Drosophila melanogaster: one gene and its partner. The protein of the gene in region 2 binds, or shares a complex with, the protein of the main gene of each other region. Each region holds a gene or a part of one and is shown on either strand. Other genes may lie near its edges.

The links. Proteins that work in one complex are often made in the same cells at the same time.
Region 1: Wdr24 (region 2) and mio share a complex: the UniProt entries of both Drosophila melanogaster proteins name them as parts of the GATOR complex.

Annotation. Positions count from the first base shown.
Region 1 is NT_033779.5:2,215,608-2,221,144, reverse strand, and holds mio (missing oocyte), read right to left. Parts: upstream 3,856-5,537; 5' UTR 3,719-3,855; coding exon 3,601-3,718; intron 3,548-3,600; coding exon 3,374-3,547; intron 3,316-3,373; coding exon 3,064-3,315; intron 2,972-3,063; coding exon 2,041-2,971; intron 1,985-2,040; coding exon 1,429-1,984; intron 1,369-1,428; coding exon 887-1,368; intron 826-886; coding exon 735-825; 3' UTR 520-734; downstream 1-519. Other genes in the region: CG42371 (uncharacterized protein), read left to right, coding at 4,003-4,132, 4,186-4,319; CG15386 (uncharacterized protein), read left to right, coding at 4,337-4,570; daed (daedalus), read left to right, coding at 4,920-5,537. UniProt on the Drosophila melanogaster protein: An essential component of the GATOR subcomplex GATOR2 which functions as an activator of the amino acid-sensing branch of the mTORC1 signaling pathway.
Region 2 is NT_033777.3:29,741,465-29,747,026, forward strand, and holds Wdr24 (WD repeat domain 24), read right to left. Parts: upstream 3,629-5,562; 5' UTR 3,536-3,628; coding exon 3,418-3,535; intron 3,360-3,417; coding exon 2,720-3,359; intron 2,658-2,719; coding exon 2,325-2,657; intron 2,272-2,324; coding exon 2,187-2,271; intron 2,127-2,186; coding exon 1,971-2,126; intron 1,914-1,970; coding exon 1,455-1,913; intron 1,389-1,454; coding exon 1,203-1,388; intron 1,140-1,202; coding exon 783-1,139; 3' UTR 508-782; downstream 1-507. Other genes in the region: Gnpnat (Glucosamine-phosphate N-acetyltransferase), read left to right, coding at 234-275; IntS11 (integrator 11), read left to right, coding at 4,006-4,219, 4,299-5,273, 5,329-5,562. UniProt on the Drosophila melanogaster protein: An essential component of the GATOR subcomplex GATOR2 which functions as an activator of the amino acid-sensing branch of the mTORC1 signaling pathway.

The sequences.
Region 1 (5,537 bases), on a different chromosome or scaffold from region 2:
TTCGGGCACTCAGATTGGACAAAAGCCTCAGGTGTAGACACGAATGAGTTGAAAAGGTCAAGTAACTAAATATCGCTATTTTCAAAGCTATCATGTACAAATATTTAATCTTAACTGCCAGTTAAAGTGCTGTGCTCAAATTCCGTAGCACTCACATGCTTTATGGAAATTTGTACCCCCACCCACAACTTACCGTCTTTATATTATATCTTGTGTATCGGCACTGTCTTTTGGTTTAATCTATTCACTATATCTTGATTTGTTTGTTCAGGCGTTATCACATAATGTTATTAACCATTCACTTAAGCCCTACGAGTGGAAGCACTTTTTCTGCACATTTACGTCAGAAAGCAACAAAAAATAATAACGCCGCATAAAAACGTGCGAAGCGGTGTGACCGTTATCAGTTCCAACAAGAATGCTAATAAGTACTACCTGAAAGTGTTGCAAAACACGAAACTATAACGGTTTCAACTTTCAAAAGAAAAGCTGAGAAATATCTATAGTAATTTGTCGCACATAGTCCTTTATTTGAATGTAAGTATAAAATGCAATTGAGCAGCTAAAAGCTGGTAGGTCATAAACACTAATGCTACGGGCACATCCCTTGTCTAAGTACAATGAACACTTCTGAGTTTGTTTAAGGCGCACGCGTTTGGAACAAATCAACAACTTAATGCATATGCATATGGCCTGGGCGAGTAAGGGCTGTGTATGGTGGGTGCTCCGGACAGCTAGGAAATGTCTCTCAATGTGTTCGGCTTGGTGCCGTCCATGTCGAAGCAGCGGCAGTTGCACGACGACACGGGGCACTCTGAATTTTGCCTGGCAAATAAACGCGTACATTGGTCAGAATTCAATTAAATATTGGTAACTTTGAACTCACTTGAACCACTGCATGATGTGCTCGGTGTGTCCGCCGTGGCGACAGGTCTGACACCAGGAAAACCACTTTGAGAAGGGCTTGGTCTGCCAGCCGGGCACGTCGGGCGTGGTGGTCGGGGTCTCCCCATTGCTCATGTTCACCATTGTGCCCATGTGCATTAGGCAGAGCGAGCAGCGGGGCAGGGGTTTCCGGCAGCTGGGGCATGAGGAGAGCCTGTTGGTGCTGGTGGTGGTGCTCCGTGGACGCGGCTCGTCCAGCAAGGCGTTGGACACAGACTTGCCGCAAAAGTTGCACGACAGAAATACGGTGCGGGAACTGCGGGAGGATGGGCGGATGCTCTCGATCTTGATGTCCAGCTCGGCCCGCTTCTCCCACAAGCCCCAGCTATTGAGGTGATCCAAGTAGCTGGCGATCCAGTACTGGATGCGCTTGTCCTCGAAAAGCTCTTGCCGGAAGTAGTTAATGGCCACCAGGGCTACCGTCTAAGAAACAGCTCAATGTATATCAAAGTTTCTACATATGTTTTTATAGCGCACGCTCACCTGCACATCGAAGCTGGTGTCCATATAGGACTGCAGTATATCGATTCCGTCCTGCGACTCTCCAGTGAGCAACAAGCCATTTAGATCGCCACCATCTATGGCCGCCTGGATTTGCTGCGCAACATAGTCAGCCAGCTTGGTCTCCGATAGATATTTGCAGGCGAAGGCCATGCGGTCTGATAACGAAACGCCTTCCTCTTTGAGCACTGCATCAAAATTGTCCTTCTCCATCGTTAGAAAGGAGAAGACAGCCCTTAAGTGTGGATCGTGTATCTGCATGTTGGCGCTGGATCGCTGATTCCGCCACGTGGAACTGCAGCGATCTGCATTGAAACTGGACAAGGCGATGACGGTGATCCTGTACATGCTGGGATCCCTCATGTTGTCCGCCGCCGACGATAGGATGTTGCAGGCATGGAAAATTTTCAAGTGGAACACGCAGATCATGGCTGCCCGGCTGTACTCCTTGTTTGCATACAACTGGTCTATAAAGCGATCCAGCTCCTGCTCAAAGGCCCAACCGCAAAGTTGGAGGGCCAGGTCGCGCTGCTCACTCCTGCATAAAGATTGGGGTTATCACACTCGTCAAACCACAAATTCATATAAACTTACCTGTAGCATATCAGTTTGTTGGAGTTGTTGATGCCCTCTGGCCACTGGAGCACCTGAGATTCAATGCGGGAGCTGGCCATCAAGGCCTCCGAGGTGTGTCCCAAGTTAATGCCCAAAGTGGCCTTTAAGCCCGTCAGTCGATCCTCGCTGTAGACATTGTTCAAAGTGGACCACACATTTCGCAGATACGGTGTCAAGTGGAGTTCGCCGAATCGCTTGTTATCGGGTTTGATGCCGTAATCCTCTAGAGCGCGCTGACGCGTCTCGTCCACCAGATCCAGCTCAAAGAGTTCCGGTTTCAGCAGGTCCACATTGAAGGGCGAACCACCAGGAGTGCTAAAGTCCAGGGAACTCCCGCTATTCGTGCTGCAGCTGCTCGTGGGCTGCTGCTGAGTGGGCGTGGCCGCAGTGGAAGTCGGCGAGGCGGGTGTGTAGAGCGGACGCTGCATCAGAAGTGGCAATTTCCGGCGATTGCTGTGCGCCGTGTGCAAGGTGGCTGGCAGTCGAAAGTCCAGGATGTTCAGCGCATCTGCCAAAAGCAGAGCTCTCTCGAAATCCCTCGAATGCCACGACAGGCAATTAACAAACGAAAACTTTCCACTGTGCTGGTATCTAGCCGGAAAGGGGCTAATCTGTCGTTTTACGTGGTAGATCTCTCCGGAATTGTCCGTGTCCACACTCCGGATGTCGTAGAGAGTGATGTAGGAGGAATCGCGTTGCAGCGAGGAAAGCAGGCTTGTCCTGGTCGGACACCAAGCGATCTGCAAATGGTTTTTCGAGGACTGAATCTGCCTGAGGGGACTCTTGATATTTCGCGGATCCCACAGAGTGATCACCGAGTCCACATAGCTGCAGAGATAGTTGCCATTGGGGGATACGGAAAGTCCCTGCACTGTCTTTGTTTGAATGCTTTGACAGGTGGCGTTACTCTCTGCGAAAGGGATTTAAAGATTTCATCAGTGAAAGGGCAATAAAGTAATACTACGTAGTTGAAATATAACCAGTCGCATTATGTGTACTCACGCCTCAGATCGAACAGCTTTATCATCTTCTGGCTCATTCCCGCAATGACCGTGCGATGATTTCGATCCCAGCAAATGGAGTTGGCCGACTCGCCGACGCCGAAGAAGTTGGCCGTCTCCTTGGGAACTCCACGCTCAATGTCCCAGATGGTGATGCAGGTGTCATTTCGATGGCGATCGTGTCCAATGGCCAGGATATTGGCATCCAGCTCGTTCCAGGCGAGGCAGGTGCACATGCGCTGCTGACGCGGTGCTACGAGAAATGAAGAACTATTAGATGCAGCTAAGAATCGGCGTTGTCGTCCACCCACTGTACTCCCAGCTGCTGTCGTAGGTGTCCCGGAAGTTGCAAATCCCGACTTTGCCATCCGCCAGACCCACTGCAATTATGGGCTGGTCACTGTGGTAGGAGGCGGCCACGCAGCGGGCATATTGATAGCGCGACTCGTTGGCGAGGTAGTTCACGGATATATAAGGCAGGCGACCTGCAAGGGGGGCGGTTAAGTAAAGTGGCATAATCCCTTGGGGAAAACCCTACTTTTTTGGCTGTGATCATCTTTGCGGCGCACTTCGTATAAATGGATTTCCTGGCCCCAGGATACGAATTTGTCGGGAAAATGTGGAAACCAGCTGAGTCCGTGTGTATTGCCGCTCATCGTGGCCGATTTTCCATCGATGTAAAAAAAAACAATTTTCACTACAGACTAAATTGCGTCGCGTTATCAGTTTGCAAAAACAAAAACGTGAGATAAACACTGCACTACATGGCAAGAAGAAGAGGCGCACACACACTAGCCGGTCGACCAGCTGTTGGCCGCATGTTAGCCAGCACTGGCCCAGTTCGATAATTCGTTTTATCGATAAGCTGGTAGGTGATTTTGTTTTCCTTTTTTTTTTGTAAGAAAGCAAACGTGTTTAATATTTACAACTCCCACTTAAAATGCTGCGCAAAACACCAAAACCTGCAATTTGGAAATTCATCAAAGGAAGTGCCAAAACACTGTTTGTCCTCGAGGCAGTCTGCTTCGCAGCCAGCTACGGCGTTTATTATCGCATGAACACGAATCGAGGTGGGAGGATATTTATATAATTATTTTGATCGTTAATAACAATCCGCTCCTAGAGTTTCGTCAGCATATTCACGAGAACTATCCCTTCGTTTTGGACTATTACTACAAAATTGGTGAAATCGTCGGAGACAGCACAGTGCGACAGGCGGATGCGAGTTATTGGAGTGCTTTGAAGAAAAGCGACTAGAGGAGACCGCTTCCAAAATGCTTAGTAATCCCTACTTTAAGTCCGTTTTGTGGCTGATTGGCTTCGGAGGAATGGGGTACGGCCTAATGGTGTTAACCGAGCCGAACGTCGACAAGTTAGAGCGCATCAAAGCCTCCGTTTCAAGTACCAAACTGAGTGCGGATGAGCAGCGAAAGGCTCTGTTTATGAAGAAGCTCCAGGAGGCGTCCACCACCAGTGCCCCAATCTACAGGTCATCGTCCGAGAAATAGGATAGTTAGGAAGCTTAATCGTCATCAATTTATCAATTTGTTATACTTTTTAAATACAAATGTTAAGCATTTAATCTTAATTGGTTGGGTAGGGTGATTCATTAGAAGAAAATTCGATTCGTACAAGAATGCGAAATAGGAAAAAGGAAATAAAATTACTAAATTGTTAATATTCACGTTTTAAATGTTTACAGAGCCCTTACTACTTCTGTTACTTTTAACATAATCTGTTAGGAATCTTGACCACCCCTACTCGCAGTGCTCGTAAACGTCCGATTCTTAACAGCGAATCTAATCTAAGCGCAATTGCATTTTAATGGTAATTTAATTGCCATTATTGACAGAGTTTATGGCAACGAAGACGCACACAATGTCCGCGGGGGATGTCCCCTTGGTGGCGATGGCCAAGGTTCCGCCGACCATTCAGTTTGAGGCCACAAAGAACTTTCACTCGCACACCGAGCAGAAGGAATTGGACAGTGCTTTCCTGGGCTACAATCGACGTCCTTGGGTTCGCCAAAAGGCTCACAGGGACACACGCCGGGAGAGGGAGATCCTCAACGGTCTACTGTGCTCTACCAGCGTGGAAACGGACTACGCCAGCACCTGTGTGGACAAACTTATTGCCGAGAACATTAACTATCTGGATTTGGCCTCTCTCACCGACGAAGATTTGGAACTCTTCGGGTTCAAGTGTCGAAAGCAACGGCAACAGCTCCTGGAGATGTTCGAAAAGATTCCCAACCAGAATCCCAGTTACGAATACATTTGCAACCATCCTGAAGCCGAAAACTACAACAATCAGATTCTGGGCAATGCTGGCAACCACTTTATGTCCCTGCGCGCTTCTTTAGCGGCCACCAACTACAAGCTGCAGGTCTCCACTCCCGAGGACGTCGTGGTGGGCGACAAACGATATGCCAGCTGCTTTGCCCAGGAAACTCTAAAAAGCGTGAATCAGATCACC
Region 2 (5,562 bases):
GCGAAGCGCAATGCAACAAAACTAAAATTGGATTCTAAGAAAACATTAAATGCATATAGGCATTGCCAAAATTCCATTGCGCTGAGGGCATGATGGATTTTTGGACAGCGCTGGCTGGCGGTGGTGTCCTTGTGGACGGACGTGCTTGTCCACCCACCCGCGAGGACATACAATTAGATATTTAGTTAAAGACAACCGCAACATATGTTGCTCTCTGTTTTTAATCCCTACAGAACTCTCAATTTTATAATTTTTTCTCCCCTTTCTGCTACTGAATGTGCGGCTCGACCTCTCAACTCCAAGGTGGTTGTAATATTACCTTTTAAGAGCACCTTCATCAAGTAGCCCTAAGATTGAAACACTCGCATAACTGTTAAACTGTTATTAACACTAATCAACAATAGCGATTAAAACCCAATACGAATCTTTCAAAAACCTTTAATGATTGAAGAAATTCAATAAAGTGGACACTTTTTTCAAAAGCCCAGAATGTTTATAAACTTACTTGCATCAACAGACAACAGTTTTATTTTCCAATATTTCAAAAAAAGTTAAGTAACAAACATTTGTGCTATTTAAAGTTGCAGAAGATCGATTAAACCTGTCTGTTAATTTACTTCACAAACGTTGAGCTTATTTTACAAGTTTACATCTTCGAGCTACATTTATATAAAAATCTGTTTAGTGTCTAGTGCAAGGTACTTATTGGGCTTAAGTCTTCTCTATTTACAAGGCTCTCAAATGGGGGGCAAAAGCTGGGCAAACCCAGCCTCCTCCGCGTCTCATGAGTACGCGCAAAGGTGTCCGCACTTGGGGCACTTGGAGTGTTTGGCAAAGTACTTCTGCAGGTGCTCTATGTGACCGCCGTGGGAGCATCCTTGGCACCAGGCGTAGACTCCCCGGACGATCAGACCGCAGACGCAGCACTTGGCGGACTGCATGGACTTGCACTTGTCGCAGTACCATCCCACCTTGCCGCCCATTGGACGTCCACACTCTCCACAGTTCGTGTGCATGGCGGTCGAGTGCTGGTTGAGCTGCTGCACCGATCTCAGCCAGGAGCGGTTGATAACCTCGCAGGCCTCGTTCCACAGCTCATAGCGATGCAGCTGGTCCACGTAGGTGTAAAACCAGTGCTCCTGAAAAGGAAGAAAACCGGATGAATAACTCCGTTCTGATCCCAACTTTGTCTTTGAACTCACCACCAATGCATCGTCAATGGGCAGGAGCTTCCGAGCTTCTCCCAGCGCTATAAGGACTGTCAGAGCTGTTTGCACATCGCCCACATCGTTCATTAGCATGAGGGCATCGGAGACGAACTTATGCGGTTCCCACATGGGTATGGGCGGGACATGGCTGACTTTTAGGACAGTGGGAACATGCGGTGGCTAAAAAGAGGATGAATAAGTTAGTTAAGCTGTAAATACATCGAGTTCTCAATAATCTCAACTAACAGGTGACTTTTCGTGATCGGACGCCTTGAGATCCAGTTGTGGTCGTGCAGCCTGCACATCGTGATGAAGGGCGGGGAAGGCCAAAGCTTTCGGGCATTCTGTGGGACCCACGTAGATAAACCCATTGCGCAAGAGCTCAAAGTTGTCAAAGGTAATCTCGCTGATGATTTGCGTTTCGGACAGAATCACTGAGCTCGTAGGCGGATGCTCCACACCACTGCTGCCGAGCGTATCATCGTCCACATTCGCCACATCAATTTCGTGGGCTGTTTCCGGCGTGTTTCCATTGAGATCCTGGCCTAGTTCAGTTCGCTGCTGTGGCCAATCGCTGGCTACTTGCGTGGCACGTCGTGAGTTCATTGGATTCTTTTGATTCGAGAAGGAGGAGCGGTGCTCGAAGGGAGGCTCAAAGTGATTGCTGCCGTAGAACAATTTGATAAAGTTCCACAATGTGGTGGCCTGAAAAATGTAGATGCTAAGTTTTGGCAAATTTTGGGAATAATCTCAAGCGCTTACATTATGTTTGCCGTATTTCTTGGAAACCTCTGCATTGTGCTCGCATAACTCCGATAGTTTTTTCCCACTGATAACAAGTTCCCTGGCACAGCCAATAAAACTTTCGTGTTCTTGGGTGGGTCTTGAAACAGATTCGCTTAGGGGATAGCCGGAAAACTGAAATATATCAATTAGTATCAGATTTGGCAAAGAAATCCCTAATAGTGTCATACTAACCGTGTCGTTTACCATGAATTTGTACATTTTGGAATGGTCCAAATGGAACTGAATGCTGCCAGCCACATTCGTCTTACGGCGACTTCTAAAATACACATACATATAAACATACAAGTTGATACAACAAATACGACATACATGAAGCTAGAAGACTTGGTATTGGATGCACCGCTGGTCTTGGGTTCATACTCCTTGATCTTGTTGGCAAAGGAGATGTCCCCAAATCTGCCCAGGCTAGCTCCCTGGGCATTTGCCTTCAGCGCTGGCCTCGTGGCATCCTTAAAAGCATGTTTGTAAATGGTGGAGTCCTTGCTGATGGACAGAAGACAGTGCGAGTCGCTGCCCTGCCACGCAATTCCAGTAGTCACATTGGTGTGCTCGTTGAAGGAGGCAAAGGGGATGTAGGGTCTGCGGATGTCCCACACATGAACGCTGTAGTCCACCACAAGGGCACAACTAGCGATGTGATAACTGGAAAGGATTAAACAGATTTAATATAAATAAGACTGTTAAACCTGGCTAGAAAAACCTACGTTCTTTCTGGTCGCCACTTAACCCGTCCCACTACGGCGATTGTGTGAATGGTGTGCTCCAATCCCGGCCTGCCATCCATGTTCCACACCTTGATCTGCTTGTCCCGACTTCCGGTGGCCAGCCAATTCCTTGTGGGATGCCAGTCGCATGTGTAGACTGGCCCGTAGTGCGCCGTAAACTGCACCATGCACTTGTCCCACTTCCGCATGTCCCACAACTGGACAGTTCCATTCTCGGAGACGGCGGAGAATATGTTTTGTGTGTGTGGACTGAACTTGACATCCCGCACTGATTCCGAGTTGCAGAAGTAGGTGTTGATTGACTTATCCGATCGGATGTCGAAACACTTGATGGTGCCATCCTGAGAACCGGAGATCAGGATGTTGGGCTCGCTGCTGTGAAAGGTCACGGTATGAGCGGTGCGCTCATGTTCGTTGTAGACAAGCAGCTGCTTCTGCCTGCCGAACTTGGAGAGATCCCACACGGAAACCACTCCGTTCGTGGCCGCCGTAGCCAAAAGATTGCTATCCAAGGTGGACCAGGCCACATCGTTGGCGGAGTAGCTAAGATTCTGGTTCTTTCCGCGCATATTACACGATTCCGTGAAGCCATTGCTGTTTATGGAGTACACCTTAAGCACTGTTCGGAAGCAAATTATGTGTATTTATAGAAAGACCTTGGGCAATTCTAATCTTACAGCTTCTTCCGGCCAAAGCAATCTGGTTGTTGTCCTTATTCAGGGCCAGGGCGTTCGCGTGTCCTTCCAGGCATATCCGCAGCGAGATTGTGGAGGTGTCCTCCACGGAATCGGGCATCCTGCAGCAGTTGCAAGTTCGCCCGCAGAAAGCAAAACAGTGATTTGATAAGACAAGACGCTATCTTTTATTTTCCTTTCGGTTCAGTATGACCGTTTCTCGAGCGGCAAACCATTGGCGCGAGTGTTCCCAAATGCAGATGTTGAATATTGTTTGAACAAAAGACTTATTGTACTAAAGTTGTATTATTCACATATAATTAATGTATTCTATACATATACAGACAGAAACATTAATTTCAATTAAGCTATTAAATTCTTTGAAACTTCTTGGAACACTCCAATAAGATCTGCCAGTTGGAGCGCGTCGTTGCCGGACCATCCACACCGACGGAGTGGCAACGCCATTCGTGCGGCCTTGCTGTTTACAAAAATCACGGTCGACTTTTTCGACAATTTCATTTACCAGCGCAACAAGTGGCCGCAAGAAAGCAGGAGAGTGGAGCCGGGTGATCCTGATCCCTTCCAGAAATGCCGGACATCAAGATAACGCCCTTGGGCGCCGGCCAGGATGTGGGCCGCAGCTGTCTGCTGCTCTCGATGGGCGGGAAGAACATAATGCTCGACTGCGGGATGCATATGGGCTACAACGACGAGCGCCGCTTCCCGGACTTCTCCTACATAGTGCCGGAGGGTCCGATCACCAGCCACATTGACTGTGTGATCATCTCGCACTTCCACCTGGGTGAGTCTCGGCCTCCCAAAGGCGCTCTTATCTGGTCAACTGGCTCTAATCGTTTCTTTATCGATTGCATGCATTCCAGATCACTGCGGGGCCTTGCCCTACATGTCAGAGATTGTGGGCTACACGGGGCCCATCTACATGACGCATCCGACCAAGGCCATAGCACCCATCCTCCTGGAGGACATGCGGAAGGTGGCCGTAGAGCGGAAAGGCGAGTCGAACTTCTTTACCACCCAGATGATCAAGGACTGCATGAAGAAGGTGATTCCCGTCACACTTCACCAGAGTATGATGGTGGACACGGACCTTGAGATCAAAGCCTACTATGCAGGCCATGTCCTGGGCGCCGCCATGTTCTGGATCAAGGTGGGCTCCCAGAGCGTTGTCTACACGGGGGACTACAACATGACTCCAGACAGGCATCTGGGAGCCGCCTGGATAGACAAGTGCCGGCCGGACTTGCTGATCTCCGAGAGCACCTACGCCACTACCATTAGGGACTCGAAGCGGTGTCGCGAGAGGGACTTCCTCAAGAAAGTTCACGAGTGCGTGGCTAAGGGCGGCAAGGTTTTAATCCCTGTTTTTGCCCTGGGTCGCGCCCAGGAGCTGTGCATCCTGCTGGAGACGTACTGGGAGCGCATGAACCTCAAGTACCCCATATACTTTGCTCTGGGTCTTACCGAGAAGGCCAATACCTACTACAAAATGTTCATCACCTGGACGAACCAGAAGATCCGCAAGACCTTCGTTCACCGCAACATGTTCGACTTCAAGCACATCAAGCCCTTTGACAAGGCCTACATCGACAATCCTGGCGCGATGGTAGTGTTCGCCACGCCAGGCATGCTGCACGCAGGTCTTTCCCTGCAGATCTTCAAGAAGTGGGCGCCGAATGAGAACAACATGGTGATTATGCCCGGCTACTGTGTGCAGGGAACCGTGGGCAACAAGATTCTCGGTGGCGCCAAGAAGGTGGAGTTCGAGAACCGCCAGGTGGTCGAGGTCAAAATGGCCGTGGAGTACATGAGCTTCTCGGCCCATGCAGATGCCAAAGGTGGCTACAAGCTTAGCACTTTTATGCTGATACTAATTAATTTTCTGTATTGCAGGCATTATGCAGCTAATTCAGAACTGTGAGCCAAAGAACGTCATGCTCGTCCATGGTGAAGCAGGGAAGATGAAGTTCCTGCGCTCGAAGATCAAAGACGAATTCAACCTGGAAACCTACATGCCGGCCAACGGCGAAACCTGTGTGATTTCTACGCCTGTGAAGATACCAGTAGATGCGTCCGTTTCCCTGCTTAAAGCAGAGGCCCGGTCCTACAACGCCCAGCCACCGGATC